2 linked regions of the Mus musculus genome follow. The protein of the gene in region 1 interacts with the protein of each later gene in a pairwise test. Links are inferred from orthologs where the notes say so. Each region holds a gene or a part of one and is shown on either strand. Other genes may lie near its edges.

Region 1 (3,650 bases):
AAGACCAGCAGCTGCCCCTTGGGTGTGAGGGCGATGCCCACTGGACAGGTAAGGCCCTCTCGAATAAGGACGCTGTAGCCACCGCCCTTGGGAAAATGGAGAATTTCCTTGCGGCTGCTATCTGCCACAATGAGGTCGCCCCGAGCATCTACACACATGCCAGCGATGCAGCGGAAATCTTCATTCTCAGAGAAGAAGTGGCTGATTTGCCGGCCCAGCTGCCCATCGGGGCCAACAGAACCGATGGAGAAGCCACCCTCCAGGTGGTGTTCATTCTGTCGGTTTTCCACATTGAGCCCCAAGCCTTGGGTGAAGTAGACTGTGCCTTCAGCATCACAGGTGACAAACTTGGGCCTCACAGCACTGCAGAGGCAGCTGTATTTGACCACTCCTGCTCCTCGGTCTACAGTGAAACACCAGAGCTTCCCGCCTTCCACGTCAGTCACCACAAACTGGCCAGATGGTAGGGCTGTGATGCCCCATGGTTTGCTCAGCTGGCTCCTGTGACAGGCCACACAGTGGCCATCCATGGTATAGACTTTAAGGGAGTTGTCGTAGCTATCAGTGACACCAATCAGCCCATGGCAGTTCATGGCCACTGAAAGTGGAGTGAGATTGGGCAAGTCGGCTCCAAGGAAGCTTAGCACGAAGCTATCAATGCCGCTGGGGCTGCGGCGGATCTCCTTCAAAAAGCCTTTGCGGTTGAACACTTGGATACGATAGTTGCCCCGGTCGGCAACCAGCACCTCACTCTGACTGGTCACATAGAGACTGACTGGAAGATTGAACATGCCGGGAGTGCTGCCTTTCGCCCCCATCTTCTTGAGAAACAGACACTGCTGGATACCGGAAGCTGCCTCAGAACTCCGCTGTTTCGCGGGGGAAGCCCTAGGGCTGGGAGCTACTTCCTCAGGGCTCATGTCCATCTCTCTAAAGGTTACCGAGGCTGAGGCAGAAGATGCTGCTCCCTCCTCCCCTGCCCAGGAATCTTCCATGTTAACTGTCCGGGGCTTCTTAACAGCCTGGCCAATTTGCAGAGGACCAACGTGTCCTACCTTAAGGAGCTCCACATCTTGCAGGGTAAGCTCCCGGGGTAGGCTGGCAGTGAGCTCGGGCTCCTCCTCATCCGCTGTCTCCTCCAGGAGGGCTACATCAGCTTGCTTGATCTTCGCTAGAAAGTAGTCACAGCGAGACACGGCCTGCACCTCAGCAATGTTGAGTAGGTAGCTCTGCTCCTCTACCACTTGACTGTTGGACTTCTCAACCTCAGCCAAGGAGCCTGTGAAGAACTTCCGAGAGCGGGCTAGCTCTTCCTGGATGCGGCGTTCCTCATGGCCATATTCTTGAAGAACAGCCTTATACCTTGCCTGAAGATCCCTGGAGACGCCCTCCAAGGCTGCCTTCCTCCTCTGCAGCTCTCCAGTAAGTTCCCTTAGACGAGTCAACTTCTCCCCGAAGTCCCTCCGCCGCTCCTCAGCTGCCTCCTTGACCGGAAGTGTGCAGTGGCCAGGGGGTTGGTGATCTGCCTCCCGGCAGGGTTCACACAACACCACACCACAGCTTCGGCAGAACTGCCGAGGCAGCCGCCGGCCACAGCCTCGGCACATGAGCAGGCCGACGGCCTCACTGAGCCCAGCTGTGTCAATGATCTTCAGCACCGTCAGGTTGTCGGTCAGCTGGGTCAGGCTGGTGATGCGAGTAATCTTGCTGCAAAAGGGGCAGCGGACGCCATTGATGCTGCTGGCCAGGAGCTTCTCCAGACACTGGCGGCAGATGGTATGGCCACAGTGCAGCAGCTTGGGTCGCAGCTGCTCTTCAGTGAAGGACTCCATGCAGATGGGACATTCTAGCACTTCCCGGAGGGCATCCAGGTTCAGGTGAGAAGCTGCTGCAGCCGCAGCCATTGCTCTTCCAGTGAAGGTTCCTGCTAACACAGCTTAGAGCCACACAGCTTAATATTCATGCCCCAGTGTCAGATTCCTGCTAAAGAGAAAAAACAAACCATTATTCATTTTTCTACTCCCATATAAGTTATTTCAGTCTAGAAACACTTAGAGAATAGCTATAATCATCCATTGAATCATTTACTTATTTATAAGCATTTTATTGCAGTGATTATGACTTAGGAAATAGTGTCTCTCCCACCCCCCTCCCCTTACATACACACACACACACACACACACACACACACACACAAATGATTAATGCATTATGTTATGGAGGAATTCAGGGAAGAGCCTAAATTGCCTATCTTATACCATTACTGGAAGGGTTAAATAATATGACATACAAGCAGGAAAGCAGAGAATAACCCTGCCGATCAGAGAATGTCACATGAAGGTCTACACTGTGAGGTACAGTGGGAAGAGGGATGGAGCCTGACAACTGGGTAAGGCTACTCATAAATGGTGCTCCTTGTAAGAGAAGTCTTACAAATCTTAGAGGCGATGACACATACAGGAACTGTACGCAAAGAACACTGTGTAAGTTTGGGGTCCAAGCCTTTTCATTCCATCACAGTTGATGGCCTCTGATGTTTCACTCAGAGAGAAAATTCTGATGATTGCCTTTAAGCAACCTGCAAACCATCAGATGGGGGGCGGGGGGTGGGGCGTGTTACACATTTTTCATTTGTTCATCTTCCAACCTAGCCACCCATAGCAGTCTAGGCATCAGAAAGAACCAAGACATTACATTTCAGCATACCCAGCCTGCTCTGCTTTAGCAAGGCGAGTATGTAAGTTAGGAATCAAGGCAGACCCATTCTGATAGATAGGAAAGTAGACTCATTTTTACTTAAAGAAAAATGGAATTTCGGAGAGGCTGGAGCACTCATTTCAGCCTGCAAGGGCACAGAAATGAGACGGGAGAACGAAACACTAGGCGGAGGGCATAGCCTGAATACAGCCGAGAAAGCAGATGGCAAGCACAGAGTTCTGTCAATTGGGACGAAGAACAGGGGACGCTTGGTCTATCTAAAATTCTGCATCTGTAAAATGGAGACAGCATATCCTTTCCTGGGTTTACCGAAGGATCACATCTGCACCAGAAAGGTCCTTAGTGAACTTCGGTTCCCTCTTAGCCTTATGTGAAAACTGTAGGAAAACAGAGCAGGGGCTAGGAGATGCACAGAGATCTAACCATTTGAGGATGATTAGAGAGCTTAAGGACAAAGTGACTTTCATGTGCAAGTAACGTGGGACATTCTTTGTGAAGGGTATGCTAGGGCAAGCAAGCGCTTAGCAGCAAGGAACTGGTATGCTTAAGGATGAAAAGGACTCTGTGTATGTGTGTGTGTGTGTGTGTGTGTGTGTGTGTGTGTGTGTGTGTGTGTGTGTGTGTGTGAAGGGAAGGGGTCACATTTACCTCTAGGACGTCCCTCTATAGGCAGAAAATTGCTCTGGTATCCTAGTACCTACTATGTGATACACAATACTGTGCATGCTTATTCTCGCTTAATCCTCATTGTGGAAACGTGGTAAGAATTTTACTGTCCCACTTTGGCAATGAGAGCATTGAAGTTTTGAAAAAACGAGCTCAAGGTCTCAGCGGTCAAACATAGTACTTTGACTTATTTTTACCCCAACATTACTTCCAAGTTTTCTTTTTTTTTTTTTAAATGTCTTTCAGTTATTTATTAAAGAGTGCTC
Region 2 (3,650 bases), on another chromosome or scaffold:
GGGCGGTGGGTGGGGCAGGTTATACAGGGAGTAAGGGCGGTGGGTGGGGCAGGTTATACAGGGAGTAAGGGCAATAGGTGGGACAGGTTACACAGAGAGCAAGGGCAGTGAGTGGGGTAGGTTATACAGGGCTTCACGCAGTGCACAGAATGGTGCTTGGGATTCACCTAAAAGCCACAGGGATGGCGAGGGTGACTGTCTGATGGAGACTTCACAAGCTGCACAGAGAATAAGCCCAGAGAACAAACGGTGACTGGGACTGGGAGAAGCACAGGAGATGCGGAGGTGACTGCACATGGGGCACACTGTGGGGTGACAGTGAAGGACTCCCTCTAAGGAGCTGAAGGAAGGGGATCAATGTCACCCTCCTAACTTGGGTCTTAGCAACGTGACGATGGACACTGAGAGGGAGTGTTATGGGGAGGAGAGGGAGATCCAAAATTGGATGAACGATCCATAATTCTATTCTGGAGGTGAAACATTGGGGTGGACATGCCAAGGAGGCCACTGACAGGTCTATTATATGGACCAGAGCTCTCAACAGCAGCCTCAGGTCCATCACTAACCCTGCAAAAATGGGTCAGCTCAAAATCTGAATGGCTGATAGTGTGCTAGTCGCTTTCTTCAGTTTGCTTCTATTTCCTCCCACCAAAGGAAGCAAGGGTTACCTGAGAGCGAGGAGCAAGGGAAAGGTATGGATACTTGAGAGAAAACTGAAAAGGTGTGAAGTCATTATTCAGAGGAGGGAAGGGACCTATAGAATAGTACAGGGAGAGAGCAACATGGGAGGGACCTGAGAAGTCCAAAAGCCACGCAAGAGAGACTGCTGTGTCTGGCCTCTTGCTGCACAGGTGGTCTCGGGACCGGAACACCAGGTGAGCACGTGAGCTTGCACTCGGTGTCACCTGCAGCGTTGGCACACTTACCACTTCCTCTGAGAATGTGTGTCTTCTTACAAATTTCGATAAATTTGTGTCAAGAGAGTCCTCTAAGATCTTTAACAGGCTTTCCAACATATTTGACTGGATGTGGATCAAGATCTGAATAAAAACCAGAGAAGACTGAGCTGGCATTTCAATGCTGAGGTACGCCTGAGCTGACAGGCACCCCTTTTAAATACTATTCCCTAATTCGTTAGCATATACATGTTTTTTAAGTGCTTTGCATGTACACTCATCAGCCAAAATGTACTTTAATATAGATAATGACATCGCCATAGTGGGACTAGAGAGGAAGCTCATATCAGAGGTGCTTCATACACCAGTCTTGAGTTTGATTCCTGAATTCCACAAAAGAAAACACACACACACACACACACACACACACACACACACACACACAAGAAAACAAAATAAATACCCCAACTTTAAACCCTGGCTGATGTCTCAGTGAAGCCTACTTACACTGTACCCATTAAAGACCCTTCAAAACTAGGCACCAAGTTTTCAAAATGACATTGCTAACGAATTCCTATCAGCCCGACACACACAGCACATGGAAAAGCAAGGCTCATTTCACCTGTAATTATCAGTACTCACTAGGACAATGTGAGACACAGGAGAAAAGGTTTTAAAAATGAGAATAACTGAGAATTCATCAACCAATGTTAATCACTGTTTATAATTTGATGTTATCTTCAAAATGTATTTTCTGTAAAATTGGATCTTTCCTTTGTCAGCTACTAAATAATGTGTAACACAAGAAATAATTGGAAAAAAACATCATATTGAATGAATGCATAGCAATTAATCATGGAAATAAACCATGTTGTTTTATATGACTGATGTGTACATTAAAATAAAAACCTGGCAATTTCTTGGACTTGATGAAATTATTAAAGCAAAAGGAATAACCGCTTTTGAAGCCGGGGTCCTTGTGAGAGGCAGTGTTACCCTTCCACCCTACACTAGCCATTTTGTTTCCCCCTTCTTCAGTCTTGCCTGTGTGCTGGGATATTTGCATCTTTACTGTCGTAACAGAACCGATGCTTCAGAAGGGGGGAAGCTCATTCACTCCAAGTGCTGGAGGTGCAGGCCATGGAGCTAGCCTGAGCTCGGCTCGGGAAGGTGCTGGAGGTGCAGGCCATGGAGCTAGTCTGAGCTCGGCTCGGGAAGGTGCTGGAGGTGCAGGCCATGGAGCTAGCCTGAGCTCGGCTCGGGAAGGTGCTGGAGTGCAGGCCATGGAGCTAGCCTGAGCTCGGCTCGGGAAGGTGCTGGAGGTGCAGGCCATGGAGCTAGCCTGAGCTCGGCTCGGGAAGGTGCTGGAGTGCAGGCCATGGAGCTAGCCTGAGCTCGGCTCGGGAAGGTGCTGGAGGTGCAGGCCATGGAGCTAGCCTGAGCTCGGCTCGGGAAGGTGCTGGAGGTTCAGGCCATGGAGCTAGCCTGAGCTCGGCTCGGGAAGGTGCTGGAGGTGCAGGCCATGGAGCTAGCCTGAGCTCGGCTCGGGAAGGTGTTCAAGCCCGTATAGGGCAGATGGTGGGGCCTGGCAAGGCTTCCTCCCTCCTGAGAGCACACCCCTGTGACCTCGGTGCCACCCTCTAAATATCTCACACATGTATATAATGACTCTTGGCCACGTCGAGCCTTCCATTCCCTTCTCCCCTACCACTCCCTCTGGAACCCTGCCTCTTCCCAACACGCCTTTCTACAAGTATGTGGCTTATATAATATGTCACTGGCTACACTTCCTCAAGAGAAGAGCCTCTGCCTCTTCCAAACACCATTAACTGCCAACCGCTCCTCACATAAGGAGGGAGCCTCATGTAGGCGCTGCCTCTTAGAGGTCTCCTACCTCATTCCCACCACAGTAAGGGTCAAGCCTCCAATAAACAGACTCCTGAGAGACAGAAGCAAACCTCAAGCCAAGCAGCTCATCGGGGGAGGGCTATTTTGGTCCCCAAGAACTTCACGGTATTAAAGGCCTAACCTGTCTTAGCACACACACGAGTGCAGTGGGCAGGCTAGCCACTTGTCAGCACCTCTGCAAGGTAAACTGTCTTCCAAATGAGTCTCTAAAGTCGTGTGCCAGCTTTCTGGAGAGATGATAGATATCCAAATGCAATCACAGAGTGCCCCACCCTGGCCTCGCGGCTTTCAGATGTATCTGCAGTGGGAACTCATCTGTGATGTCAAGTGGCATTGCTCAGAAGGCCTGTGGTTCTCTTGAGACTGACAGGGGAGTGAACATGCGTGTGTCCCGATGAGATCATAGGCTAAATTAATGCAGGATGTGGCAAGTACCAGCTGGGAAAATAAGGAACCAGGCCCTCTGGGTCATAGAGGCAGCAGATGCAAGTCAGATATAAAATTCTGTTGGGGGTGGGTGGGTTATGTAAGTTCAAACTCTAATTCAGGGATTAGAAGCAACATATTGTAATATAACACACCCATTTTTAAAACAGACCAAACAAAAGAGAGCCCCCATCTGTATTTGCTGATACTGACTGCGCTCTCTCTGGACAGCCTTTTGTCAGGCTAACAAACTGTTTACAGATTCCAAGGAGGTGACAACCTTGGGAAAGCTGAGGCCAGTTTGTCATTCAAAAGAGCAAGCCAAGCCTCCCCAGTGAATGTCAGCTGTCTCTTCCTTATCAACCCAGGAGGATGGTGAAGCAGGTTTATAATGCAACATGAGGAACTCAGATTGGACAT

What was found. The genes of interacting proteins can lie anywhere in the genome.
Region 2: the proteins of Trim32 (region 1) and Ptcd2 interact in binary tests that used the Homo sapiens proteins (3 or more experiments, as listed by UniProt). The two-hybrid records come from large-scale screens. The link is inferred for Mus musculus from reciprocal best matches to the Homo sapiens genes TRIM32 and PTCD2.

Annotation. Positions count from the first base shown.
Region 1 is NC_000070.6:65,611,462-65,615,111, reverse strand, and holds part of Trim32 (E3 ubiquitin-protein ligase TRIM32), read right to left. Parts: intron 1,984-3,650; 5' UTR 1,905-1,983; coding exon 1-1,904. UniProt on the Homo sapiens protein: E3 ubiquitin ligase that plays a role in various biological processes including neural stem cell differentiation, innate immunity, inflammatory resonse and autophagy.
Region 2 is NC_000079.6:99,320,635-99,324,284, forward strand, and holds part of Ptcd2 (pentatricopeptide repeat-containing protein 2, mitochondrial), read right to left. Parts: intron 1,041-3,650; coding exon 927-1,040; intron 1-926. UniProt on the Homo sapiens protein: Involved in mitochondrial RNA maturation and mitochondrial respiratory chain function.